7 linked regions of the Macaca mulatta genome follow. The protein of the gene in region 4 interacts with the protein of the main gene of each other region in a pairwise test. Links are inferred from orthologs where the notes say so. Each region holds a gene or a part of one and is shown on either strand. Other genes may lie near its edges. The genes, in order: IGFN1, SMAD3, TRIM42, MEOX2, KDM8, PRKAB2 and RPL15.

Region 1 (3,500 bases), on a different chromosome or scaffold from region 4:
GATCTCAGAATGCAGTTTGTTTCTTAGGAAACTACTTAGTGGGGCAGGGGACCCTCTTCTCCACTTCATGGATGTGGAAATTCAGATCTAGAGAGGAAGTGAACTGTCCAAGGTCAAGGCAAGAAGTGGAGGGGCCAGGGCTAACAGCTTCATCTCTGGCTCCCAGCTGGGATTTCTGAATCAGGGCTTCTTGACCTTAGCATGATTGACATTTTTTTTTTTTTTTGCCAGATACTTCTTTGGGATTTTTGAGAGGAGGGGGTGGGTTCTGTCCTGTGTACTGTAGGATGTTTAACAGCATACCTGACCTCTTTGCACTAGATGCCAGTAACATCTACCCTCCACCCAGTTGTGACCATGAAAAATATCTCCAGATACTGCCAAACCACCCTAGATAAGAACCACTGTATTAAACCAATCTGAACTGACAAGTTCCTGGCATCCTGGAGCCAGGAGCGGTCTAAGGAAGCTCTGGAAGCCAGGACAATGCTCACCAGGCACCGGCTGGTCGTTCACTGCTGTCCAGGTGTTGCTCCCCTTCTTACGCCTCTCGATCAGGTAGCCCAGGATGTGGGCACTGCCAGGGCCCCTAGGTGCTGTCCATGTCAGCGTGATGCCCTGGCTGGAGGCTGACAGGATGGCTGGCGCGGAAGGGGCCTTGGGGAGAGCTGGGGGCAAGGAAGATTCCAGTCAGCCAGAGGCCTTGAAAGGTGCCGGCTCACGGGGAGCCCCTGGGGGTAGGAGGCACGGGCATCTGGGGCAGGCCACACTCCTCCCGGTCCTGGCGAGTGTCGGGGCTGAGCCAGCCCACCCTAGGTCAGTGTTCCAGCTATTCAAGGGAAGGAATGAAAAGACAGAGAAGGCACCGTGGCACCGTGGCCTCGGAGCCTAGAGCCAGCCCTGAGGCCCCTCCGCCTCCGGTCCCCTGATAGGATGTTGGAGGTGGATGCCCCTCTCTCCCTGGGGCGTGAGACAGTAGGCTTTGCTGGCCCATACCCTCACTCCCGGAGACTCTGTAAAACACTTCCTCATCTGGGTGCCAGATCCGAAATGCAGCTGAGGGAAGGAGTCTCCAGAGTGCTATAGAAGGGCCTCCAAAACCCTGAGCACAGGCTGGTGTCATTCAGCCTCTGGGACAGCCTGCCCTCCCTGGCACAGCGGGGAGCCCAGGAGTGTCCTCCACCCCCAGCCCCAGACTTTTCTCTTACCCTCAGGAGCCACCAATGTCTCCTCAGACTCCAGGGCCTCGCCAGCCCCCTCCGAGGTCACAGCCCGCACTCGGAAGGCATACTTCCTGCCTGGCTCCACATGGGCATCCGTGAAGGTGGTGCTGTCAGCGGGGGCCTCGCCCACCTTCAGCCAAGTGCTCCTGCCAGCCTGCCGTCTCTCCACCACGTAGCACTCTACAGGCTGGCCCCCATCATCCCTTGGGGGCCGCCAGCGGAGGCAGACACCAGCCCTCTGGCAATCCTGAACCTCCATGGGGCCTTGTGGGGGATCAGGCTTGTCTGGGGACCCACAGAGAAGAGCAGGAAGAGGAGGGGTCAGAGGAGCTAGATTGGAACGGCGCCGCTCCCCGCCCCCCTTTGCCACTCATCAGTGGATAAGCCTGCAATGGGGCAGACTGTCCAGAGAGCCTTGGGCATTACCCAGAGGGTCACACACTCTTGAGACGTCCCCACCCCCAACACATATGTGCACCCAGGGATGTGCCATGGAGTGCACCAGCCCGTCCCAGTTCCACCATCGGGGGGCTGGTATGGGCACCTGCTCGGCCCACAGCAGTCCTACCTTGCTGGCACCACTCAGGGCTGGGGACCGCCATCCTACCCAGCAGCTTCCTGAGGGCCCAGTGCATTGGGGTCAGAGAAGCATAATCGGCTCCCCCCCACCCAGCAGGAGCCCGGCACTGTGTTGATCTCAACTGCTTCTTCCTAAGCAGTCTGAGCAGAATTCGGGGTAGGTCTGGATCTTAAACAGCATGCAAATGAGGATCAGAGCCACCAGAGATCACACCCCAGGCCTGCCCTTGATGGCAGGGAGGGCCCACAACCCTGGGGACTCTCAGGCCTTGGTTGGGGGAAGATGGGGTTGGTACCTATGACTTTCAGGGTGAGCTCGGCCTGCACAGAGCCTCCCTCACTCCTCAGCGTCACACTGTACTGGCCACTGTCCTTCCTGCCTGTGCTGGGGAGGCACAGCCGTGTGTAGCGGTCCCCCAGGTCCACCTGGGCCTCCTTGTCACCACTGCCCACCACCTTGGCCCCGTCCTTTCTCCAGGCAGCCTGAACGGGGAGGTGGCTCTGGAAGGGGATCTTCACTGTCACCGGCTTCCCAGCCTTGACCACCAGTGGCTCTCTCAGTTTCTCTGTCACATCTGGAGCAATGGTAGGGGAATCTGGAAATAAAACAAGAGAGTCAAAGACCAGAGCACTGGGCACTGGGGAATGCAGAAAGGAGGATGCAGAGAAGGAAGTCTGGGGGAAGATTAAGGAATCCCCTGCCCTGCCACAAAGGGAAGGGGCTTCATCTGCAGCGGGAGAGACCAGGCTTAGACCTCATCAAGGACTTCCTGACAAGGAAAGAGCTAAGATGCTGGAATAGACAGAGTATGAGTTGGCTTTTTAAATCATCTTCTCTGGGGATGAGATTAGATACTGGCTGCAGAGTAGCCACAAATTCAGGTGTTTTAAAGCAAGGCATATCACCTGGTACAAAGAGACTATGGGACAGGGCAGGGCAGGGCTAGGCCTTACCCTGGACGGTCAGAGTGGCCTCACTCTGCTGGTCACCAGCTACAAAGGTGTACCTCCCAGCTTGGGTCCCCTGCACGCGCGCGATGAAGAGGCTGTGCACGAGACCATCTTGCTTAAAGATGACTCCATCCTGGGCGGTGAGCTGGAGACAGGGCCACAGCAGGAGAAGGTCACCCCATTCCCATCCCCGCTCCTCCAGGCCAGCTAACCAGAGCCCTTTACAGATGCTGGGATCCTGATAACAGCTGTGTGAATGGAATGCTTACTGTGTGCCAATGCTCTCTGTGCTTAGCACCTTATTTAATTGTCTAACAATCTTATGAAGTAAGTGCTATTATTAGTCCCACTTCATAGATGAGGAAGCCAGACTGTTCACCAGCTTGCTTGAGGTCACATAACTGGTAGTGGCAGAGCCGGGATCTGAAGCCAGACCTAGCTGATACTGAGCCTCATGCCCTGAGTCACTTTGATGTTTCTCTTGGGGTGACAGCTTTAATGGAGGACAGGGAGGTTGTGCAGGGAGACGAGGGCCCCCTTCTGGTAGGGATGAGAAGATGGCATTTATACAAGCCTTTGAAGGATGGGTAGGATTCAGCAGGTATGGGTATAGAAGAGGCGTTTTGGATGGTGGAAGAACAAGGGGTGTGCTGCAGGGCGTAGGATACACATCATTTAAAAATCCAATTTTATTTTAAACACACCAAGTTATTGGCTATTTAAACTTCTCCTGAGGTGGATACATTA
Region 2 (4,286 bases), on a different chromosome or scaffold from region 4:
CCAAGACGTGGCCTTTAGTTTTCTGCCCACGACCAAAACAGCAGCAGCTGTTGCCAAGGGACACAAGGTGACCCAGAGGCGTGGGCACAAAATCCAAGGATGAAAATCCATTTTGTCTGGATCCACCCAAGCAACTGGGTTTCCCTAACTGAAAAAAAAGATGAAAAAAAAAAAATCTGCTTTTGCATTCAGTCCTATCCAGGCAGGCAGAAGATGCCTCAGTCCTAACAAAGTCACGAGAAGGCCACAGGGCAGGTTGGCTTGAACCCTCAGAATCATCCAAAGCGTTCACATGTCTTAGGCTTCCAAAGTCTCAGCAGGACTTTGGAAGAGGAAAAGGCAGGCCAAAGGTATGGCCCCACAGAGGACAAACTCCTACCAAGGCAAGGGAAAGCAGGGCCTCTCTGCCAAGCGATCACCAGCCCAAAGATTAAAGAAGCAACCGCACATACAAACATCCACAGGGCCCTCCCCAAGCTAACACAGTTTTAGCATTCAGCAAAGAATGTATTCAGGATCTTCAAAGTATAAAGCAGCATGGGTCAGCAGAAAGAGCACATTCTGTCAGAATCCCACGTCTACAACTCAAGCCTTTTCACCTCTCTCTTTTAAAGTTTCCTCTGCTTTAAAAACGTGATAATCTTAAGCCTAACAACCTTATCTACTTTCCAGGGCTGGTTGCTTGCTTGCTTGCTTTCTATCTTGTTTTGAGGACCTCAGAAAACCATGTGAAAGTGCTTTGTAAACCGTGAAACACTTTTCACAGCTGCCTGTTTTATAATTGATACCATTTTTTTTCCTGTTTCAATGCATAAAGCACTTGTCTTCAATGCACCCAGGCAGATAAGAGGAAGGTAGGTTTGACAGACCCCTCCCCAGACAGAGAAGTAGCATATTCACCCACTCTACCCTCTCCACCCCCACCGAAGGAATACAGAAGAATTAAGAACCAGAGCTGGAACCAAATCCCAGGTCTCTCTGACCATCACATCACACCACCTCCTCTGAAGTCAATTCTGGCTCCCGATCACACGGCCAGGGACTTCCCCAGACAGCACACCGCCTTCCCTCCCCCTTTATTGACTGGATCCACCCAGTCAAAAAAAAAAAAAAAAAATTTAAGTCTGCACTCCCACCATATGTGGCATTTATTTCCAGGGGAGGCCTGCCCTGGGTTCCCGTGGACAGATGTTGCTTTGTGCCTGCCTGACTCGCCTGGCAGCCCTTGTACAACTGCCCCAAGCAGGTGGCCAAGGATGGAGTCCACCCTGGCCCAGGGGCAGGGATGACAATCCCTTTTTTGGCTTACAGTCCCTGGTGCTTTCTACTCATTCCTCTGCAGCCTGGGACCCCCAAAACAGCCAGCCCCCAACACACACACTCTCTCCCTTGATTCAGAATCAAAGGAGGCTGAGAGGTAGAGACAGGAAGTCAAGGTATCCCCACCCCCAATTCCCAGCCAGGCACAGCTAAGCTAAGGAAGGCCCTGGGGGAGTGGAGAGAAGTCACTGACCCTTTCTATCAGCCATCTGTGGGCTCCCGCCCGACCTAGCTAGCGCGCAACAGGAAGGATAAAGGAGATGCAGACAGATGGCAGCGCGCTTTGGGAAGGAGGGCTCTACAGGAATGCGAGGGCCGATGCGAGGCCCACTTTGGGGTGTGTTTTGTTATCTGCCCGGTTCCAGCCCGCCCCTCTCCCTCATTCTGCACGGACTCAAAATCTCTTGGACCAAAAGGAGGGCAAAAGAGTCGGGATGGGGAGTGGGAGGTGGGGGAGAAGACCCTATTTTCTGCCACTTGTCTCTCCCATTTGGAAGTCAGAGCATTGCACTGCAACCAAAGTGCGTGCGTGCTCAGGGGGCGGGAGACTGGCACAACCGAGTCTAAAAATACTCGATAAAAATGCTAATCCCGAAGGCAAAGAAAGAACGAAGAAGGAATCTGTCAATCACGAGGCTCCCGCTCCTCACCCACAGCCCCAGCTGTACGGACCGCATTCCTGTAGAGGAAAGTGGGGAGACCGGACTGAAGAAAAGAAACGCAAAGACACCACCACCTCCACGAGCGCGGGCCGCGGGGGCGGGAGGCGGCGGCGGCGGAGGAGGGGCTCCGGCCCGCGGAGCCGAACAAAGCGGGCCTCAACTTCCAGCCCCAGCTCCCCAGGGTGGGGGCGGCCGAGTCCCGCAACAACCCGCTCTCCCCTCCCGGAGGTGGAAAGGGAATGTGAGGTCTGGAAGCCAGAGTACCGTGTGGAAGCCTCGGGCTCTGATCTTTGCAAATGCAGAGATGGTTTTGTTTGGGGTCCCCCCACCCCCTTCCTGCCCGCGCTCTAGCTCCCACTCTCACACACACGCACCCACACAGTCTCACTCCCTCTCTCTCCCTCTTCCCATCTCCAACCCCAATGGGTCGGCCCCGCAGTGCCAGGGGGCCGGGTCGGCGTGTCCCCGGGTCCCCCGGGCGGGCCCCCACCTGGGGATGGTGATGCACTTGGTGTTGGCGTTCTGCGTGGTGATGGCCTTCTCCAGCTCGTCCAGCTGCCCCGTCTTCTTGAGTTTCTTGACCAGGCTCTTGACCGCCTTCTCGCACCATTTCTCCTCCTGCCCGTTCTGCTCACCCTTCTTCCAGCCCAGCAGGCGCTTCACGATCGGGGGAGTGAAAGGCAGGATGGACGACATGGCTGGGGAGGGCGCGCGGGCGGCGAGGAGCGCCCCCGGCGGGGCTGGGCTCGACGGAACGCCGGGGGCGCAGAGGGGAGCTCGGCCGTGGCCTGCCGCGGTCGCCCAAACTTCGCCTCAACTCTCGGCGAAGTTGCTGGGGCGCCGGGCCGGGCCGCGGCGCTGCAGCCTGCGGGGCTCGGCGCGCGGCCCTGCGCCCGGAGCGGCTCCCACGGCGAAGAGAAGGGCGGCCGGGCGGGCGGACGGCAGCGGTGCCGGGTTGGGAAGGCCCCGAACGCGGGGCGGAGGCGGCGGCCGCGAGACTCCAAGTGGCAGCAGAAGTTTGGGTTTCCGCACGGGGTAGCTGTTTGGGTGCCGCCTCCGGGAAGGAAAGTCCAACCCCCGGCCAAACTTCGCTCGCCTTGCTAGCTTTGATGCGCAGATCCCTCCGCCTCTGCTGCCTCGCCGCCTCGCCACCCTCCTCCTCCCGGCTCGCCGCTAGCTCGCTCGCTGGCTGGGCCGGCCCGGGGCGTGCGCCGCGCTCCCGCTCCCGCCCGCTCCCAGTCTGTGTTTCATGCAAATCCGCGTGCAGCCTCCTTTCCAAGCGCTGTCACCGCCCCCTCGCCGCCGGGGCTCTCCGCCTCCTCCCCTGCGCCCCGCCACCTCCTCCCGCGGGCGCCCTGCCCGCCCCCTGCTCCGGGGAGGGCGGCCGGCCGGCCGGCCGGCCACCACCCCGTGCCCAGCACGCCCACGTGGGCAACGCGGGCGGCGGCAGTCCTGGCTGGAGCGCGCGGGACCCCGCGCGGCCCCGACCTGAAGTCGGGCGGGCGCGGGGAGGAAGTCCTGGGAAACGCGCGGCGAGAGGGGCCTCGGGCGGGAGGGCTGAGCGCGGCCCGAGGCGTCCGCTCTCGGAGTCCACACTTGTGCGGCTCGGTTGGAGTTGCGGGCCGGAGAGGGTTGGACTCGCAGCAAGTAAGCGCCGTCCGGACGGGAGTGAACCCTGGAGAGGACCCGAGCCCGAGAGGGGGCGCGCGGAAGGCCCGGGCCCAGGAAGTTGGGGCCCGCACTTGGCCTCGCGCTGGCTGATCCCCGTCAAGGCTCTTGGCCGGCGCCCGCGCCCGCGCCCGCGCCCCTGGGCTGTTTTTATTCTCTCGTTGGTGAGATCACACCGGCCGAGAGCCTTGGGAAAGTGTGCGGAGGAGGGTGTGGGGGGGGGAGAAGTGGGTCCTCAGAAATGGAGAGCTGGGGACACCAGTGACAACCTGGACAATGGCTGGAGCCAGGGATCCTTTGAGCCTTCTGAACTGAGTGCCCGGCAGAAAATGAGCCTCAAGGACATCTGTTGAGTTCTTGAAGGAATGAATGGAGGTGCTTTCGAATTTATCTTTGGAAGAAATTTACATAACACGGTGTTGCTGGATCTCCTGATAGAGAAAGATCGGAAATTTGATAATTCCCAGTAAATGGAAGAGTTTTGTTTCCAGAGCAATGAACTCACAAAAAAGTGGGGCAAGACAAGAGTATTCGGAGAGTTTGTGTATTCAAAAAAAGCAAAACAACAACAAACCAACTGGCACATTGGGGAGCTCCGGGGCTTTTCACCCCACCAAAAGAATTCAGGGGCGTCTG
Region 3 (3,500 bases), on a different chromosome or scaffold from region 4:
GACATTAGCTGGCTAGTAGCAAAGGGATGTAATTACAGTGGCCACATTTACTGAATGCTTACTATGTACCAGCAGTTAAGCACTTACATGGATTATCTCATTTAGACTTTATAAAAACCTCACAAAGCAAGTAGTATGGTGAGGTTTGATTTATAGTTAAGAAAACTGAACATGAGAGAGGTTTAAAAAAACATCTCAGAAGGTACAACTGTAAAGTGGTGCATTTTTATCACACACGCTCTGCCTCTAAAGCCCAGATCCATTACCATTACCTATTGGTCTGGTTGGCAGACCACACAGGTTCTAGGCTTGGCTCAGGTACAGACTTGCTCTGTGTTCCATCTATGTACAATAAATAATGTCAATGTCCTCCAGGGGAAAAAAAAAAGCCCTAAGAACACACCTGTAGTTGGACAAGATTGTATTTATTGACTCATTGCAACAAGTGAGAATATAAAGCATGGGAAAGTGTAAAGTACCTTGAAAAGTTATTACAGGATTTGAGCTCATGTTAGGTGAGGACACGGGAGTAAATCTATTGAATATTTTAATAAATCTTATCTAGAAGGTGGGAAGAACAGAATGACCCAAAAGCTGCTGGAAAAAAAAGAAAAAAGAAAAAAACAAAACAAAACAGTTTTTTGGTTTAAAAAAATCAACCAGGATAGGGGGATGTTGGGTCATTTTCGTGATTTAGACAACGTTCTTGTCTGAGTCCAAACATTATAAAGTGGCCTTGTTTCTGCTTTGATCCAAAGTCACAGAGTAGCCTTGTCTGATACTGTGTTCTTTGATATTACCGATGTCCAACGGAACACCAAGGCCTAGCTGACAACGCCTGACCAGTCTCTGCGGCTTTTCCCTTGCTTAATAACAGCAAGCAGTTGCAGCACACTGACTGTGTACCATGGACTGCTCTTAGTCCGTACGAGCATTAAACTCAATTTTAATCTTCTCAAGAAACTCTGACATGGGTACTAATTTTATAACAAGGAAATAGGCCGAGAGGTTAACTGGCTTACCTGAGGTCACCCCGCTGAAAAATGGTGGAGACAGGTTGAGAACGCAGGCACCTTGGCACTCAGCTGAGGCTCCTCACCACCACCCTAGACTGCCCCTCAGAAACCAAGAGTTCTTTCAGAGGTAGAGAGGCAGAGCAAGCTCTTGAGCCTGCCTCCTGAAACCCTGCCTTTGCTTCTCCTTTCAGCTCCAAGACTGCCCTGCGCATTGGGAGCAGCGATACCCAGCTGGATGAAGTGAAATCAGTACCAGCCAAAAGCCACCTGGTGAACCACCTCAATTGCCCCATGTGCAGCCGGCTGCGCCTGCACTCATTCATGCTGCCCTGCAACCACAGCCTGTGTGAGAAGTGCCTGCGGCAGCTGCAGAAGCACGCCGAGGTCACCGAGAATTTCTTCATCCTCATCTGCCCAGTGTGCGACCGCTCGCACTGCATGCCCTACAGCCACAAGATGCAGCTGCCGGAGAACTACCTGCGCGGGCGCCTCACCAAGCGCTACATGCAGCAGCACGGCTACCTCAAGTGGCGCTTTGACCGTTCCTCCGGGCCCATCCTCTGCCAGGTCTGCCGCAATAGGCGCATAGCGTACAAGCGCTGCATCACCTGCCGCCTCAACCTGTGCAACGACTGCCTCAAGGCCTTCCACTCGGATGTGGCCATGCAAGACCACATCTTTGTGGACACCAGCGCCGAGGAACAGGACGAGAAGATCTGCATCCACCATCCATCCAGCCGCATCATCGAGTACTGCCGCAATGACAACGAATTGCTCTGCACCTTCTGCAAGTTCTCTTTCCACAATGGCCACGACACCATCAGCCTCATCGACGCCTGCTCCGAGAGGGCCGCCTCACTCTTCAGCGCCATCGCCAAGTTCAAAGCAGGTCCTCCCCTTCTCCACTCCTTCAGCCTAACTTCTAGTTCAGGAACACATGGGGAAGATGGCGTGGGGCAATGTGCTAAGTGAGTGCCTTAACAGATTCCACCTAGTGGAGCAATCAAGGCACCAGGAAACACTGTGCTATCCTGCAAGTCACTATCCTGGTGTCCGCTCCTGGTAACCACTACCAGTCACTTAACTTCTCCGTGCCTTGCTTTTCTCACCTATGAAATAGGGGAATAGTAGTGACCCCCTCACTGGATTGCCATGAGGATTAAGTGAGTTACTCTATGTAAAGAATGCAAAAAGTCATATGACAAGTGCATAAAGATTCTATAATCTTGATTATAATCTGCATGTCCTCAGGTCTCATTTTCTCTTTTGGAAAATGAAGACTTTGATCCTATAGTATACTGACGTTCTGTGATGTTCTAAGGTGTTCTGTCACTGTTGGATCGCTTTGGTTTTCCTAAATGTGCAGGGGGAAAGAATTAAGTCAGTGCTGAGAATTATCTCAATGTTAAATTTCCCTCCATGAATTTTTTCCAAAACTTGCAGATGCCAAAGTAAATAAACTGGCAGCAAACATATAACAACAGGGACAATTCATAACTAGCCAACGGTATTCTAGTCAACAGCTTGTTTTTCCTCTGCATTCTTGTTCGTGGTGATTTGGTTGTTTTATATTGTTACATATAATATTGCTTTAAGTGAAATAATATTTCAGTGATGGTTTCAGTGATGGAACCAAGCATAATAATATTTCACAGGATTCAGCAAAGAGCCCATAATTTCTTGTTTCAGTGACAAAACCAAGTATAATCATATTTCACAGGATTCAACAAAGAGCCGCATAATTTCTGGGTATGTCTCTACCTGGTCAGACATTAGAATCCAAAAGATTCCTTTAGTGCCCTTTACCCTCAGGAATAGTTCCTTGTATAAAGGCCAACTTTACTCAGGCCTGTGGAGCACATTTTGTCTAATCTCAATAGTGCTACAGTACAGGCATTAAAATGTCCTCCATGGATAAGCCAACTGTGGTTCAAAAAAATAATTAGGACAGGCAGCTAATAAGTGGCAGATGCAGTCTATTTGACTCCAGTGTCCACCATTAATTCCACAACATTTATTTGACAATCTACTCTGTGCTAAGCAGTGACCAGAATCTGAAGATGAAGAGATTGAAGGGGAGGAAGGGGGAACCACCACCACCATCCATGGTCTGTTTCATTAAGGAGTGGCCTGCAGTCAGTTACCAAAGTGCACCAGATCAACCCAGGCCTTTCCCATTGTCAGATCTGTTAGTCTCCAACATTCAGATAGGCCTATACATTGGGAGGGAGGCAGCTTTTCCTTGAGCTGCACAGAAAGGTCCCACTGGATATAAAGGTGGATCCAAAACAGACTTTGCTAATGACCACATCACCCCTGACTTCTCAGCAGCTTCAGGAATACCTCGAGTTTTCTCAGTTGCCACATACCTGGAAACATTGCTTGTCAATTGACATTTATTTAATTCTGGAACCACCACCAGGGAATACTTCATATTAAAGGAACCCTGCAGGAGCCACATGTTATCAAGAAAATGGTAGAACT
Region 4 (4,292 bases):
GGATGGAAGGTCACGCTTCGCAATCGATTTCACAGCCACTTGTCCTTTTTTATCAACCTTCTGGTAAACTAGTTTAGGACCTTGGAGAGCTTAGAGCTGCTGGCTGTATATGCATTGCTCTCGGATAAACACGTGTCCCCCAAATATCAGGACCAAAGCTTCACCGCCGAATTTGGCCGCGGGAAGCCACAAAGGGCAACACATTCCCATATTCCCCGCTGCCACCCTGTAGTGCGAGAATCTCCCCTGGCATCTCTCCGCCCCCTTTCCAGGCCGGCGCGCACTCTCGAGGGTGCCTGGTGAGCCCTTACCTGAGCTGTCGCTTTTCCTCTTGCCACCGCTTCGCTTCTCCGCCTCCGCAGGTGACAGTGCCTGGCGGCCGTAGTCCCCCGGCGCGCACGCGGCCCCAGTCGGGGTGCTGGAGCCCAAGCTGGAAGAGTTGGAACACAGGACCGGAGGGCTGCTCCCCAACTCTGGGGGCCCTCCGGAGTCGGGCTGGAGGCAGAGGCTGTGTCGAGCCGCACTCGGTGGGGAAGACATCTGCGGGAGGTGCCAGTTGGTTTGCAGAGCCTGGTGCTGCTGCTGCTGATGATGGTGATGGTGGTGGTGGTGGTGGTGGTGGTGCCCCCTGTGATGCTGGCTGGCAAACATGCCTTCTTCGTTGGGGTATCCCGCGATTATGCAAGATGAGGAAGAAGTAGAGAGCTCGGGGTAAGACATATGGTCAGATCTTCCATGGAGGGCGAGAGAAGATTGGGAGAACGGGTGCAAGCCTTGCGCCGTGGCGTGAGGGCTGCGCAGGCAGCCAAAGAGCGGGTGTTCCATAGCATGCAAGTTTCAGGTTCCAGGCAGAAGACTTCAGGACGGTTCCAAAGGCCACCACCCTCTGTCACTTTTCACTGGAAACTGTATGATTTTTTTTTTACCCTCCCAAAGCAATAGCCGTGCACTTCTGCAGAGCTCGGATAATCCCGGTTCTGAGCCCCAGCGGCCAGTCTCCTTTGCATATGAACAGTCGGACCTGGAAGAGCTTCCCTGAACTACTCAGATGTCAAGAGTGGGAGAGGTTGAAGCCAAAAGAAGGTGGTCCCAGAGAACTGCTTTCAGGGGGAAATGGCTCTGAGAGGTTATAAATAGAGTGTAACGTGAGCTGGGGGCCGGCTTAGGAGCCCAGAGTTGACCACATGCAAACTCCCTCCAAAACTCCCGCTCAGTTTGCGCCACGCGCTCCCCAGTTCCACTTCCTATCGCCTGCTGGACAGACGCAGAGCGTCCACGCCCGCCCAGCACTGCCGGCTGCCAGGGCTACAAGCGGCACGCCAGTGCCTAAGTCCCGCCCGGGAGGGCAGCAGCTCTGCCCTCCAGACTCTGGAGGCCTGGGCGCGGCGCACACCACCCCCAACCCAGCACCCTGATTCCTACCTACTCACTTTCCTCTCCGGGAAACGTGATTTGTCAGTGTCATTTGTGAACTGTCACCTGCAGAAAAGCTAGGGATATGCCTAGCCTTTCAGGAACCCAAAAGAAGTAATAGGGTTAAACGAAAAGATCAGAGCTAGTTAGGCGCATCCTCGAAGTTTTTCAAACTTCGCATCTTCCAGTGCCCTGGGCGCCGCAGCGCGCCTAGGTTTTCACAGCTGGTTTCTGTGGGTGGATTGTTAATGGGCTGGGACGCCAGATCTGAGGTTGTGGGGATGAGTACCATGGCCTGGAAAAGGCAGTTCTCAGTGCGGAACCAAGAGGGACCCGGTAGGGTGGGTGGGAGGAAGGCGTGAGTCTGAAAGGGTTGCAGATGCCTGTTCCCTGGCATCCTCTTGTGCGATGCCAGGTGGAGTCTCCCTTCCCCCTCTTTCCTGGTCCCGCTCAATTTCCTAGCCACTTGTCCACCAAGAAGAAATTTTCCTGGGTCAAAAATATTTCCAGGCGATTTTGTCCCGGTCACATGAGATGTGTAGATTGCACGCACATATCTAGCCTTTCCCCTCAGGAGCTAGCCTAGGTCTCCGCAGTTTCCTACAGAAATCCACTCTCTTCCGCTCAAAAATAAATCCGCTAATCGCATCCCTTATCACCACCGTCCCATTTACTGAGAAATCTTACATTTCGATAGCTCCCAAAATTCACTAAGCTTGGGCACTTGGCTATAACTTTGCATCCCTGAAAATAAATTAGAAAATTTGCCTCCAGTAAGCATGCAAGAACGATGGCAGGGCTTTGAGACTGCCACTTGTTTGGCGGGTGACAGGGTCCGCTGGGGGCAGAGTCGTTTACACACAAGTGAGTGGCTCTGTAATGAGCAGGAGAAACAGTCAAGTCCCATCTGGGACCTGTCGCATCAGGAGAATATCTGTAGTCACCTATTCCGCCCGGGGCCCCAAATGCACCACCAGCAGTGTCGCCCCGTTATTTTCATTGTCTCAGGTGTCCAGAGGATGATGAGCAGGTCTTTGAAGTTGTTAGTGGGATTAATGGGTACAGCAAACTGGGCTAGACATCTGGTTTGAATTAGGAAAAAGTATTGATTAATCTTTGAGAGGTGTCCCCAAAGCAGAACCTTCCCCCTCCTCTTCCAGTCCCCCTGCTTAAGCCTCACTATCTTCTTTTCTTGTAAGTCATGCTGTAGAATAGTGGCTTCTCAAAAACATCCGTGTGAAAGATCGAATTGTTTTCTATTGCTTAGAGGTGGGGTGGAGTGGGGGTTGATCAGGAATTCTGAGATTTGTAAGCGCTGCTTTCTTTAACGGAAATTGAGCTCTATTTTGAGGGAAATTAGTTTTGCAGACTTCGTTTAAAAAAAAAAAAAAAACTAAAACTTTTGTTCACCAGCTGCTCAGCTTTTCAGTCTGGGTCTGAGCTGAAACCTGCTGCAAGTCTTTGACGGTAAGAATTTCTTTGCCGATACTTTGGGAATCTAATATTGTTTTAGACTTCGAAAGGGGGTGTTGTTCAGGTTGCACGTTTCTAGGGGCTTTAAGCACTAGCAGGATGGCGTCCAGGACTTAGATCTTAAGAATATTTCTTCCTGCCACTCCCCACGCCCTTGGCTCTTTAAGAATAAAAAGAGGTGGGGGAGTTATAGTCCTCTAATATCGTCGGAATATTTTTTGTATTTTCATTGTGTTTATGGTTTCAATATGTGCTCTGATATTAAAAGTTAAAGTACAAAGAGCAACACTAAACTTCCCCAACTTGTGTAGCTTCTCTATGGATTCTAGGTGAAAGCATTAAAGGCTTTATTTAAAGTGAGATTTAGGCAACCACCTCAATAAGCCTAACCAGAAATATTTACATAATACAATGCTGTCAACTAAAGCATTGTGGAAAATGTCAGACAAGACAGACTAAAATTACACATGATCTGCAGACATCAGTCCAAAACATCCACAATGGTCCTTTTGGTTTGCATTACATTGGTTTAGAGGAAGCTAAGCAATTACCAAATGAATGGATTTGAATTTAACCAGAGTGTTGCAGGTAACTAGCAACAAGAACACACAAATCTTTCATCTCCCAGAGCTGCCACTTCTTCTTAAACCTGCCCAGTGACTGTGCTGGATTTTTTCTCACTCATTGTGTCAGATGTTAACAATCTGTCCAGAAGTTTCTCTACAACCTGCCCCAGTCAGTCAGGCTCTAGAACTTTTTCTAGAAGAAAAATTTAGGAAAGGTTAGAAAAGGAGGAAGTCATTGCAAAGGCATGCAATGAAAGCAAAGGTAGTAAGACAGGTCTTTTTAATTGGAGACACAAAACATTTAATATCAACAAAAATTATGAAGTCCAGTTTTCTTATAGAAAACACAACATAAGGAAAATATTTGAAAGGAAAAAAATGAAGGACTAAAAAGGAGGTCTTGGTAAATTCCAGAATTAAATAGGACTTTAATTTTCTCTGGATTTCTAAATATGTATTAATCATTACATAAAGATTTTTAAATATTAATTTATTCAAATATTTGGAATAAGATAGAATATTGAATTTTATGTTCTAGGTTTTAGAGAAATTTTTAAAATGTAGTAAAAACAGGAAAAAAAAATCCTTAGCTTTCCTATAACAGCTACTTCAGTGTTCACATCCATAAAATCCAATATTGAGAAGATGCCTCTTTATTTAATGATATCAAGAATGGTAAAAATTATAAAGTTTATCATAAAATTTATATAAACAATCATTTAAAACTATATATGACATAGTATTTATCTAATATTTGCAATATACTTGAGTTTTCCTGAAGAAAAGTTATATTAATGCCAATATTTCATGGAAGGTTTCAATATCCAGTAACACATTATA
Region 5 (3,957 bases), on a different chromosome or scaffold from region 4:
GTGACAGAGCAAGACTCCGTCCCTCCCAAAAAAAAAAAAAAAAAAAAAAAAAAAGAACACACACACAAAAGGCTAAACAGGCTTCCAAAGAAGGGAGTCGAGAATAAGATGTGTGACTTGCCAGTTATCTGCAAGAAGAAAAAAGATGTGTGAAGCAGTCTTTGAGAGTGGTGCCACACACTGGCCTTCAAGAGCTCCACGTAAAAGGGTTTATTGGGAGTCGTACAGATAGCCTTCTAGTGGCCAGGTGTATGTGGGTCATCCAGACCAAGATGCTATTAATATTTATGTCTGCATCAGTAAAAAACTGGTGTTATTCCAGGCAAACTCACACCTACCATAACCCAAATGTGGGCCATATGAAAAAGCCTGAGTGGCCTCGTATCTTCACTTTACAAGTCAGTCTCCCAGAGCTCAACAGGTATTGGCCTTCAAAGACCTCTTGTTGATTGGAGAAGGCATTTTTTTTTTTTTTTTTTTAAAGACAGAGTCTCACTCTGTCACCTAGGCTGGAGTGCAATGGTGCCATCTCGGCTCACTGCAACCTCTGCCTCCCGAGTTCAAGTGATTCCCCTGCCTCAGCCTCCTGAGTAGCTGGGATTACAGGCGCCTGCCACCACACCCAGCTAATTTTTCTATTTTTAGTGGCGACGGGATTTCACCATGTTGCCCAGGCTGGTCTTGAACTCCTGACCTCAGGTGATCTGCCTGGCTCAGCCTCCCAAAGTTCAGATTACAGGCGTGAGCCAGCATGCCCGGCCCAGGGAGGGCTTTTTTTTTTTTTTTGGCGGGGGGCTGGGGGATCAGGTATAGAAACAGCTTGAGTGGTCTTATGTCCTGGTTTGTGAACTGGCCTCATCACCTGGAACGGCTTTCGGGGGAAGATCAAGCGTGGGTTGCACAAAACAGCTTTTGAGTGGACTTGATTCAGCCCCTAAATGCTCCTTAAAGTCTTGTCTGCTGGTGTATGAAATGACCTTGCAAAGGTCAGAATATAGGCTGTCATGTCCTAACCTCTTAGAGTGGTTTTTCTCCTGGATTTATAAACAAGACTAAGATGAATCTTATAAAAGGCTTCTTGTTGGCCGTATTAAACAAAAAGGAGCCACGTATAGCCTGTATATAACAGTCTGAAGACTCGGGCCTGGACTTTATAAATTCAGCATCCAGACAGAATTCACTATGCACACTAGCAAAGTGGGTTCCTGGTAGGTTACGGGATATATCCCTCTTGGAAACCACTGCCCTGCCATCCCAGGATTCTTTCAAATTATTTTTATTTTTTTTGAGACGGAGTCCCCTCTCACCCTGGCTGGAATGCAGTGCCCCAATCTCGGCTCACTGCAACCTCTGCTTCCTAGGTTCAAGCAATTCTCCTGCCTCGGCCGCCCGAGTAGCTGGGATTACAGGTGTGCACCACCACACTCAGTTAATTTTTGTATTTTTAGTGGAGACGGGGTTGCGCCATGTTGGCTAGGCTGGTCTCGTGAACTCCTGACCTGAAGTGACCGGCCTGTCTCGGCCTCCCAAAGGGTTGGGATTACAGGCATGAGCCACCGCGCCCTGCCTTAAATTATTTTTAAACATCCACTCCTCTAAAGCACCTCCCTGAGTATTCTTTAAGGTGGCTGGGTGGAACGGCCTCTCCGAGAGCCTCACTGTGATTTGCAGAGGGTCTCAGGGTGGGCACTCTGCGAGCACCATGCTGGTCATGAGAAAGCCTCTCAAAGGGGGCTTCCAGGACAGGTCAGCCTACATCGGGCTTTCTTGGAACAGGCAATCCAGTTATCTAATCTCTTCAATGTTATTATGGCAGTATTCCACAAAACTTGTGCAAAAACAAGAGCTTTGTAAAACTTCCCAGAGAAGTTTGGAATTTTCCAGAGAGCTTTATTCATGGCACAAGGATCCCTTTGGCTCACGAAGGGGCACACAGTCTTGTGTTTGGGTCATCCGTGTGGCCCCAACGCCCGCGCACCTCCTGACCCCGGGCTTGCTCCCGTGTCCTCCCGAGCACGGCGATTCTTACCGTTGCTGGGAAACGCACCGATGCCCATCGTTAAGTCTTACCGAGCTACAAGCACCTTTCCTTAGGGCAGCCACACACCCAGGCCCTACAGGGTCCCACGTACCCCGCATTAGCCTTGAGCCCCCCGAGGCCTCAGACCCCCTTTCCTCCTCAGCGCCTTTCCCGGAGCTACATTTCTCGCGGCTCTTATCTGGGACCTGACGGCTGAATCGTTCCCAGCCGGCCTTGCAGCCCAGAGGCAGCGGCTGATTGCCCAAAACCAGCGGACACACACACACCAGAGCATACAATCCGCGCAGGCGCACTAGGGCTACACCGACTAGACGCCTAGAACCGCGAAAGCGCACAGCAGCCGGCCTTAAGGGCCTGCCCTCACGCATGCGCCAAACCACTGCCAGAAGACGAGCACTACGCACGCGCAGAGCCTTTCCCTCGCTCCAGCAGCGCAGGCCGGCTCAGAGCGCATGCGCCGACTCGAGCAAGCCTCGGGCTTTCCAAGGCGCACGCGCGAGGCCGGGCTTGGCTGCTTCACATGACGCCTGCGCGGTCTATGCCTCTGAACCCGGCCTCTCCACTTCTGAGGAACTGGAGCTGACTCCGCTCTCGAGTTGCTCAGACTAACCTCTCTTCAGCTGGGACGGTGTCGAGTCGCCTTTGGGCTGGCGACTACTCGTTGCTTTTGGTCCGACGACGCGGCTGTCTCCCCCCAGGAGTCAGACGCTAGCATAGGAGTATCGATCGCTCACCGCTCGTCTGATCACGACGCAGTGCCTAGAGGAGTGCCGAGTGATCGATGCCGTGGCCCCGCCCCACTCGCGTTTAAAAGACCAGGGGATGGACAAGACAGAGAAAGGCTGGGCTGTATCCTCCGGGTCCTTCCATGCCAGTGACACCCGCTTTTTCTTCTGCACAGATAACAACTTCGTACAAGGCTGTTTGCATCCACCATTTAATCCCTGCAGCTAGGATTATTAGTTCTCCCTATTTTACAGAGAGCGAAACTGAAGCTCAGTGATTAAAGTGGCCACATACTTGTACTTTTGGAAAGTCAGATCCACAATTACCCACGAGCAAGTGCTACATCCACAGTCTGTTCGAGTGAGAAGGCAAGTGGCCAGAGGACACACTCCTGCCACGTTTGCTTTGATGTCGAGTGGTGCGGGGTCACTGGGACTTTGTGTTTTGAGCACACTCTCCTATGGGCTCCGCCTTTTGCAGCATTGCACAGAGGCATGGAAAGTTATGTTCATACTGAGCTTGGGGTCTGAGTAGGAAACAGGCTTGCTCAAGATCAGTTCATAGATTAGTGGATTCTAGGTACTGTGCTTTAAAAATATTAAGATTGTAGCTATTGTAATGATCATGATCGTCCCTATTTGAGGGAGTATGTTAATCCACTTTCACGCTGCTGATACAAAGACATACCTGAAACTGGGCAATTTACAAAGAAAAAGGGGTTTAATGGATTCACAGTTCCACATGGCTGGGGAGGCCTCACAATCATGGTGGAAGGTGAAAGGCACGTCTGACATGGCGGAACACAAGAGAAGATGAGAACCAAGTGAAAAGGGAAACTGTCAGTCCTCTGAGCCCAAGCCTGCGTGTATACATCCAGATGGTCTGAAGTAACTAAAGAATCACAAAAGAAGTGAAAATGACCTGTTCCTGTCTTAACTGATGACATTACCTCGTGAAATTCCTTCTGCTGGCTCAGAAGCTCCCCCACTGAGCACCTTGTGACCCCCACCCCTGCCGGCCAGAGAACTACCCCCTTTGACTATAATTTTCCATTACCTATCCAAATCCTATAAAATGGCCCCACCCCATCTCCTTTCACTGACTCTCTTTTTGTACTCAGTCCACCTGCACGCAGGTGAAATAAACAGCCTTATTGCTCACACAAAGCCTGTTTGGTGGTCTCTTCACAC
Region 6 (4,264 bases), on a different chromosome or scaffold from region 4:
AGGCAGAATGGTCGATCTGAGGAGACCAGTGGCAATGATGTCCTAGACACAGTAACATCAGGACAACCCCCACCAATTACTTTTCCTATTAGCCCCTTCTTTTCCTTCCCTTTAGAAAGAAGAGCATTGGGGCCGGGCGCGGTGGCTCACGCCTGTAATCCCAGCACTTTGGGAGGCCGAGGCGGGCGGATCACAAGGTCAGGAGATCGAGACCACGGTGAAACCCCGTCTCTACTAAAAATACAAAAAATTAGCCGGGCGCGGTTGTGGGCGCCTGTAGTCCCAGCTACTCGGGAGGCTGAGGCAGGAGAATGGCGTGAACCCGGGAGGCGGAGCTTACAGTGAGCCGAGATCGCGCCACTGCACTCCAGCCTGGGCTGGGCGACAGAGGGAGACTCCGTCTCAAAAAAAAAAAAAAAAAAAGAAAGAAGAGCATTGGGGTGACAGCAATAAATCTAAAGGGAACAATTATACTGATACTGGTTAAGAAGATCTTGTATCTTTACCTACTTATTCCTGAATCTAAGAAAAAAAAAGGAATTTGGGACTAAGGAGAATTCATTCTTCCTACAGTGTCATATTACATTTGTTCTGTGTCTAAAACATGCAATATTCAAAATTGACTTTTATTATTAACTGTTGAGTAACTTACAAATGTTGTTAGAGCAGAGCAGGGCAGAACAGTGTCATGGATAATCTTCCAAAGGAGATAATACAAAAGTCATTTCCATTTAGCTGTGTAAAAACAGTTTATTTCTCTCCTTCAGTTTTCCATTGGCTAACATAGTTAGTTTGTTTCTGCTAAGCTGATTTCACTACTGCAAGGAAATACATACCAAGGACATATTATTTGGCATGGTGAAACCACCTTGGGGTCAGAAAACTGAATACTACACAAGTCAAGGTTTAATGTATCACACCTTGAAGGGCCTTGCTTCAGTGTCCTATGGTAAGGAATTGAGGGGTGGAGGGAGAAAGGTAGGGATAACCAAAAAGAATGTACTCAGACAGTAAAGATTTCAGAGGGGTGAGCAAGAAGTTGCAGTAAAATCGTACCTTTTTTTTTTCCTTCCTGTAAACTGTCTTCGGTTTATGAGCCAAAGAATGAGTTTATAAGGGGCAGAGCAAAGAATGGGGGAGTAGTGAATTTGTTGTACTTAAGTGGGCTGTCAACTTCATAATATAAAAATGAACTTTTCAACAAATAGAGCTGCTCACTCAGAAAGGGTGGCCTATGTAACTTGGGGTTCTCCATCATTGGCCGTGTTTAAGCCTAAGTGGCATATCTTGATAGAAATGGATTACAGTAAACAGTATTCCTGTATCCTTCATTCCGCAAATACAAAAGCCTGCTCTGTACAAGGTACATGCAGAATATGAAAAGGTATCAAATCTGGATCTGCTCTCTGCCAGCTGTCAAAGCATTGCTTCTCACACACGTTAATGTGATCTTGTTAAAATGCAGATTCTGAACCCTGGGGATGGGGCCTGATTCTACATTTCTAACAGGCTCCCAGGTGATGCCAACGCTGCTGGTCTGTGTAACACAGATAAACGTTTCTAGTAGAGAAGGCGACATGCAAATACTTCTAATACAAAGGTAAGTACCTTAGGGATTCCACTAATTTTCATAAAAAACCTGGATCCCTCCCAACCCTACGACTGTCTTTGCCTTTTTTATACCTTTAGGGTTCCTTCTGATGTTTTCGTTGTCGCCATCTTCCTTGAATTTTATTTCTTCTGAGGTTTCTCACTGCATATGCTGTTTCTTAGACTAGGAAAGCCTTTTCGTTATTCTCCTAAGACTAACATTTTACTAATTTGTCAAGGTCTAGCTCCTAAATACGCCATCTTGAATTTTCCCTGCGACCCCAGTCGGGCTGACAGCTCCTTCCTTGTCGCTCCCTATTGAGCAGGTTTTTCTTGTGGGGGGGGGGCGGGGAGGCGGAGGGACGGAGTGTCGCTCGGTCGCCAGGCTGGAGTGCAGTGGCGCGATCTCGGCTCACTGCAACCTCCACCTCCCGGGTTCAAGCTATTCTCCTGCCTCATCCTCCCCAGTAGCTGAGACTTCCGGCGCGCGCCACCACGCCCAGCTAATTTTTGTACTTTTAGTAGAGACCAGGTTTCAACTTGTTGGCCAGGATGGTCTTGATCTCCTGATCTCGTGATCCGCTCGCCTAGGCCTCCCAAAGTGCCGGGATTACAGGCGTGAGCCACCGCGCCCGGCCAGAACAGTTTTAACCTCCAGCAATGGCCATTGCTTCCTTCTGCCTGCAGTTGGAAGTCAGTTTCAGTTTTCTTATTCCCTGTAAGGAACCCCCCTCTCCCGTCGCCTAACACACAGATGCTGCCCAGAAAACGTGCTGGCGCACCTGAGGCGGGGTAGAAAGCCGCGTCGCTTCTCCCGGCACCGAGCGCCGGAGCCCAGGGAGGCGGCCTCCGAGTGTCCTGTGGGAACGTCCCTTCCGCCGGGTAGTCTCAGAGGCCCAGCGCTCCAATTATCCCGGGTGCAGTCTCCCCAGGCGGCACAAGCCCTGCCTGGCGCCCCCTCCTGGCGCTGGAGGCTGCGTGCGACTGCCCACCATCGAGGCGGCGGCGGCTAGAGAGGCCGGCGGGCCCGGGACGCCGAGGCTGCAGGCCGCAGGGAACGCGCACGGGGCCGACTCCGCGCCGCCGGCCTTGTAGCCATTTTAGGAGGAATCGCTGATCGCCAGCGAGGGGTGCGGCTTCAATTTCAATAACTTTATTGGTGGCCTGATCTGCAGAACAGTCATCACTTCAGTGGTCCCTGGAGGAGGGAGCGCATCGCCCGAGGTGACTGGCGTGGGGGCGCCCCTGGCAGTGAGCGCGGGGACGCGGGGGAGTCCCGATAGCGGGTTTCCTGACTAGGGGCAGCGAGGGCACCGGGGTATTTGCAGGCATTCCCGCAGGCCAGGAGGGAGAAGGCTCCGGGGCTTGGCCTCCCTGGGGCGGGGAAATCCCTTGCCCCGTCCCAAGGCGTATGGGCGGGGCCGGGGGGCGCCCCTGACGCGGCTACTGAGGTGTTCCCAGCCCGGTGTGGTTCTCCGCGGTAGGTGGTCCCCGACGAGCTGCAGCCATGGGAAACACCACCAGCGACCGGGTGTCCGGGGAGCGCCACGGTGCCAAGGCTGCACGCTCCGAGGGCGCAGGCGGTCATGCCCCGGGGAAGGAGCACAAGATCATGGTGGGCAGTACGGACGACCCCAGCGTGTTCAGCCTCCCCGACTCCAAGGTAAGCGTCCCACGCCCGCAGTTGGTGGCAGTACTGCAGCGGGTTGATTTCCGGGCTCCTCTTCCCTTTCTTGGTTCTTTTCTGCCGCGCCGAACCGGGCTATGGTTTTTTGAATTAAAAGGATTTTTCGGGGACAGAGGTGTTGGATGGTAATCCCTCTTGCAGTGCCGCCTCAAAATAGGATAAAGAGGCGGAGTTCTTGTTTTCCTGGTGTTCTGACTAATCTGTTGGCCACATTTTTAGGATGGGGACAATAGACATCCCCGATCCTTGGTTCTTCCTAACATGCACGAGTGGCTCTCCTCTATAGCGTTGCTGAATTTGTAGTTTGTTAGCCCTGGTGGACAACTTCAGAGGGTAGGTTGCACGAGTTGCTGACCATAGGTGGTAGTTTCTCACCTTTGCCCTGAGGTGGCTACATGAAATTCTTTTTCTGAAAATTTCTATGTATCAGTATCATTTTTGCCCTTCTAGCAGCTCTGCACTTGTGATCTTCTTCCCTTTTGGCACGGCTGTAAGCAGCAACTACTTGCTTATTGAATACTTTCCCCTAGTCTTGGGGATCAATTAAGGACATCATTTGGTTGACTGCTTAATTTTTGTCCCATACTTTATAGTTGTGGTGGCTGAGGCTGTGCCTCTTTCACGCCCCGCTGCTGCTCCGCAGGTGGAAGAGCCAATGATTCCACGACTTGTTTACTCTCCAGTAGTACTTCAAAATGTTGCGTGGCTAAAAAGCGACAATCCATAGCTGCCTTGAAGACCTTGCTCTCAATTCCAAGGACTTTCAGGAAGAGCCAACTTGTTTTTTCACTCTGTAAGAAAGGACAGATGGAGCTGATAGCAGCGATTACCATTCTAATGTTTCTAATCGCTTTTAGAGCTGTCAGCATGAAATACATGTAGTTTCTCCAGGTAGACTGACTGGATGAGATAGAAAAATGGAGGGCTTGAGGAGATTGGGGTGTGTTTGATGTTTCCTATCATTTCGTCACTTCCCAGGGAACTGGG
Region 7 (3,938 bases), on a different chromosome or scaffold from region 4:
CTGAGCCCGTCGTGCGGGGGCCAGAGAGCGACAGCGCAGCGCGGAGACGCAGAGACTACGCGGGAAGAGAGCCGGCGGTGCGTGAAATAAACCTGTTCTCTCCTCTAACCTCAAAGACAGCGGCTCACCGCGGTACGCGGTCACCGGCTTTGGAACCTGGACCCCAACTTGCCTCTTCTCGCGGCGGGACAGTCACCGACGCTCGCTTACCGAGGCCTCGCCGCCCACTCTCGCACCCCGGCCGCTCAGGCTGGAATCCTGCGGGGCAGGGGGCGGGACAATAGGGGCGGCTGCGCCCCACTCGGCAGAACTCCGCCCACCAGGCGCGATGCTGGAACTACATGTCCCATGAGGCTCTGGGAGGCCGCAGTTTTCCACCGGAAAGAGGTTGGCTGAGGTGGGGGAGGAGCCCAAAAGGGATTGTGGGAGTACAGCTCTTTCCTTTCCGTCTGGCGGCAGCCATCAGGTAGGCTGCGTTGGAGATCTTTGCTCTTCCATCCGCCGTTGATCGTCTTCCTCTTCAACCATCCAGGCCCGGGGACCCTGCGTCCTCCGAGATAGGTCTCTCTCCTGTGCGGCCAGAGTTTAGTCAGGATGCGGGACAGCGAGGGGGTGGAGAGGCGGCCCCCGGGGCGGGTTGAGCGAAGATGTGATGGCGGCGCGAATTTGAGCTGGGCCCGGATCCTGGAGGAGGCGTGGGGCTGACGAATGGGGCGCCCGGGACAAGGCAGCCTAAAGAGAGACTGCTGGTTGGGTGGGCTAGATGCATTTTCCTCGAGAGTTAATCCTCGGCGGCCGCAGCAGTACGTTGCCCTGTTGTGTCAGCGGCATCTCCTTGCAGGTTCCCCTTGGGGACGCCGCCTGCCGCAGCCACCCGCCCCCTTGGTGCTCACCTCTGGCTCTGTTCATTCGCCCCACCAAAACGTGCCGAGCACCGCGCCGGGGTTGCGGAGGTGACTGAACGCGGCTCCGTGGGCGCATTGGTGGGGGTTGGGCTAGCTGTCCCCGGCAGTTGGTGCAGAGCCATTTTCATTCCCGGCGGTTTCCTTGTGCTTGTTGGGGAACTAAGATGGACGAGTAGGGTCGTCTTATTGTACTTCAAGCGGATGATATTTAATACCCAGTTTGATTTCACAGGTAAGCCAAGATGGGTGCATACAAGTACATTCAGGAGCTATGGAGAAAGAAGCAGTCTGATGTCATGCGCTTTCTTCTGAGGGTCCGCTGCTGGCAGTACCGCCAGCTCTCTGCTCTCCACAGGGCTCCCCGCCCCACCCGGCCTGATAAAGCGCGCCGACTGGGCTACAAGGCCAAGCAAGGTACGTGATCGACTGCCTGGATGCTAGGATAAAGTTATATTCCAGGAAAGTTGGAAACCAGCTGGTAGGAAAACACTGCTGCCCCAGTGTCTTCTCATAGGGCTTTGGCAGAATAGAGCTAGCAACACTGGTCAGTTACTTTATGCGCTTGTTGTCTAAAGTGGCAAGTGCGTCAAAGGTTGCAAATCTGGATGAGTTCAGACTAAAGCAAACAGTGTGTCTCCCTGTGTGAGTAACCTAAAGTACATTGACAGACTGGGATGTGTTTTATTTTTTTCCATTAGATAGCATTAACTTAGTGTTGAAGTATTTTTGGTGGAGTGTTAATGACAAGCCATTGAGTCTTAAGCCTGATGGGCTTCCTATAAAATCACTAATTTTGTGTGTGTTTGTGTGTAGGTTACGTTATATATAGGATTCGTGTTCGCCGTGGTGGCCGAAAACGCCCAGTTCCTAAGGGTGCAACTTATGGCAAGCCTGTCCATCATGGTGTTAACCAGCTAAAGTTTGCTCGGAGCCTTCAGTCCGTTGCAGAGGTAAATGGTTTTGAGTAGCAGTTATATTGAATACTGCCTGGGGACGGTGGGAGAGACATTTAAGCAACTCTTCTGATTGTACTTAACGTGAACTGTCTCGTGTATAAAATAGGGTTTGTGATTTTTACTAATCTTGGTAAAGAGTAATTGCTTGAAAGACTTGTAAGTCGTTATTACAAATGCGTGTGTATATACTGGAAGTACTTGTGGAACCTAAGCTTTAAAGGCAAGAATATGCAGAAGAGACCAAATGTGGCCTGCACAGCCTAAAATATATACTAGATATTTTTAAAGCTAAACGTTGCTGAGCTCTCAGTTGTATTGGAAAAAGATAAGGTCCTCAAATCCTAAATTTTGTTACCCAGGTATTAGTAAGGACTGGAGTATTAAGAGGGAATGGTGTGTTTCAGTCTATATTTATGTGTGTTGTTTTAGCAAGTTTACTTTATCTCGTTATACTTGTGATAGTCTAGGGAGAAATGCTTCGTAAATACTTGAGTAGTAAAAGACTCCTGTCTGGTGGTGAACTAGAGTTGAGAATTAAAATTCTTTCTGACTCGCTGCTATGGGCAATGTGGGAGACTGACCTTGGCCTTTTTTCCTATTCTAGGAGCGAGCTGGACGCCACTGTGGGGCTCTGAGAGTCCTGAATTCTTACTGGGTTGGAGAAGATTCCACATACAAATTTTTTGAGGTTATCCTCATTGATCCATTCCATAAAGCTATCAGAAGAAATCCTGACACCCAGTGGATCACCAAACCAGTCCACAAGCACAGGGAGATGCGTGGGCTGACATCTGCAGGCCGAAAGAGCCGTGGCCTTGGAAAGGGCCATAAGTTCCACCACACTATTGGTGGTTCTCGCCGGGCAGCTTGGAGAAGGCGCAATACTCTCCAGCTCCACCGTTACCGCTAATATAAGTAAAGTTTGTAAAATTCATACCTAATAAACAATTTAGGACAGTCATGTCTGCTTACAGGTGTTATTTGTCTGTTAAAACTAGTCTGCAGATTGTTTCTTGAATGCTTTGTCAAATTAAGAAAGTTAAAGTGCAATAATGTTTGAAGACAATAAGTGGTGGTGTATCTTGTTTCTAATAAGATAAACTTTTTTGTCTTTATCTTATTAGGGAGTTGTATGTCAGTGTATAAAACATAACTGTGGTATAATAGGTTTAAAATAAATTCTTTAAGAGAACTGAAACTAGCCCTGTAGATTTGTCTGGTGCATGTGATGAAACCTGCAGCTTTGTTGGTGATGGCAATGCTGTGCTGGTTTACTTTCAAGTGGCTGGGTTTTTTTAGTTTGACAGGTACAGACTTTTTTAACTGGGCTTTAGAAAATCTGGGTTAGCCTGAAGAAAATTGCTTCTGCCTTCATAGTACCATTTTAAATTCACATAAAAAAGGTGAAAGCTCCCTAGTTCAGTGCTGTGGCTTCATGTAATTCAATGATTCGTGGTAGTGGTATTAATACTGGTGTGTTTTGAAATTGAATGTGAGATAAAATTAGCCTTAAGATTGGTAAGCTAGCAATGAATGCTAGGGTGGGAAGCTGGTAAGCCAGTGGCCGTTAGATAAATACCTTTCAAGTGTGAGAAGTCAATCCTAAAATATTTAACCGTAATGCTAATTGTGATCATTATGAATCCTTTCAGTCACATTAGAGGGGAAAGTAGTTGGCTATAAGTACCTCATTCTTAGTCCAGTCAGTCTTAAAAACATCTTGGGTTACCCATTCTGTGCACTCCCATAGGCTACAGAAAAGGTCATAAGCGCATGGTTTGCAACCGTATGTGTTTTGTGCAGTTACTTCTCTTGTTCTTGGCCAAACTACCCTAAAAATCCTTACCATTCCACAAAGTTGGGCCATCACTTGTGCTCCCAGTTTGAGTACACCACCACATTGCATTTCTGTTTCTATCATGTCTTCCAGGAAACTAGACTGTTTCCCAGGGTGGATTTGAGTATAAAGAAAAGGTAGACAAGGAATTGCCCAATTCTAAATTCTGACTTTACTGACTTAAATCTAAATGCTCGTTTCTCTGAACCAATTTTCTCTGATCTTCTCTAGGGGTTTCAA

What was found.
Region 1: the proteins of MEOX2 (region 4) and IGFN1 interact in binary tests that used the Homo sapiens proteins (3 or more experiments, as listed by UniProt). The two-hybrid records come from large-scale screens. The link is inferred for Macaca mulatta from reciprocal best matches to the Homo sapiens genes MEOX2 and IGFN1.
Region 2: the proteins of MEOX2 (region 4) and SMAD3 interact in binary tests that used the Homo sapiens proteins (3 or more experiments, as listed by UniProt). The two-hybrid records come from large-scale screens. The link is inferred for Macaca mulatta from reciprocal best matches to the Homo sapiens genes MEOX2 and SMAD3.
Region 3: the proteins of MEOX2 (region 4) and TRIM42 interact in binary tests that used the Homo sapiens proteins (3 or more experiments, as listed by UniProt). The two-hybrid records come from large-scale screens. The link is inferred for Macaca mulatta from reciprocal best matches to the Homo sapiens genes MEOX2 and TRIM42.
Region 5: the proteins of MEOX2 (region 4) and KDM8 interact in a two-hybrid assay, tested with the Homo sapiens proteins (2 studies listed by BioGRID). The two-hybrid records come from large-scale screens. The link is inferred for Macaca mulatta from reciprocal best matches to the Homo sapiens genes MEOX2 and KDM8.
Region 6: the proteins of MEOX2 (region 4) and PRKAB2 interact in binary tests that used the Homo sapiens proteins (3 or more experiments, as listed by UniProt). The link is inferred for Macaca mulatta from reciprocal best matches to the Homo sapiens genes MEOX2 and PRKAB2.
Region 7: the proteins of MEOX2 (region 4) and RPL15 interact in binary tests that used the Homo sapiens proteins (3 or more experiments, as listed by UniProt). The two-hybrid records come from large-scale screens. The link is inferred for Macaca mulatta from reciprocal best matches to the Homo sapiens genes MEOX2 and RPL15.

What each region holds. Positions count from the first base shown.
Region 1 is NC_133406.1:58,868,472-58,871,971, reverse strand, and holds part of IGFN1 (immunoglobulin-like and fibronectin type III domain-containing protein 1), read right to left. Parts: intron 2,899-3,500; coding exon 2,757-2,898; intron 2,399-2,756; coding exon 2,099-2,398; intron 1,509-2,098; coding exon 1,209-1,508; intron 669-1,208; coding exon 495-668; intron 1-494.
Region 2 is NC_133412.1:44,588,101-44,592,386, reverse strand, and holds the start of SMAD3 (mothers against decapentaplegic homolog 3), read right to left. Parts: upstream 2,801-4,286; 5' UTR 2,679-2,800; coding exon 2,473-2,678; intron 1-2,472. UniProt on the Homo sapiens protein: Receptor-regulated SMAD (R-SMAD) that is an intracellular signal transducer and transcriptional modulator activated by TGF-beta (transforming growth factor) and activin type 1 receptor kinases.
Region 3 is NC_133407.1:43,688,760-43,692,259, forward strand, and holds part of TRIM42 (tripartite motif-containing protein 42), read left to right. Parts: intron 1-1,207; coding exon 1,208-1,905; intron 1,906-3,500.
Region 4 is NC_133408.1:112,580,303-112,584,594, reverse strand, and holds the start of MEOX2 (homeobox protein MOX-2), read right to left. Parts: upstream 2,801-4,292; 5' UTR 826-2,800; coding exon 312-825; intron 1-311. UniProt on the Homo sapiens protein: Mesodermal transcription factor that plays a key role in somitogenesis and somitogenesis and limb muscle differentiation. Required during limb development for normal appendicular muscle formation and for the normal regulation of myogenic genes.
Region 5 is NC_133425.1:26,749,625-26,753,581, reverse strand, and holds the start of KDM8 (bifunctional peptidase and arginyl-hydroxylase JMJD5), read right to left. Parts: upstream 2,801-3,957; 5' UTR 1,568-2,800; intron 1-1,567. UniProt on the Homo sapiens protein: Bifunctional enzyme that acts both as an endopeptidase and 2-oxoglutarate-dependent monooxygenase.
Region 6 is NC_133406.1:118,946,336-118,950,599, forward strand, and holds the start of PRKAB2 (5'-AMP-activated protein kinase subunit beta-2), read left to right. Parts: upstream 1-1,464; 5' UTR 1,465-1,600; intron 1,601-2,768; exon of another isoform or gene 2,769-2,814; intron 2,815-3,074; 5' UTR 3,075-3,097; coding exon 3,098-3,253; intron 3,254-4,264. UniProt on the Homo sapiens protein: Non-catalytic subunit of AMP-activated protein kinase (AMPK), an energy sensor protein kinase that plays a key role in regulating cellular energy metabolism.
Region 7 is NC_133407.1:24,558,344-24,562,281, reverse strand, and holds RPL15 (large ribosomal subunit protein eL15), read left to right. Parts: upstream 1-1,138; 5' UTR 1,139-1,147; coding exon 1,148-1,319; intron 1,320-1,718; coding exon 1,719-1,855; intron 1,856-2,465; coding exon 2,466-2,771; 3' UTR 2,772-3,562; downstream 3,563-3,938.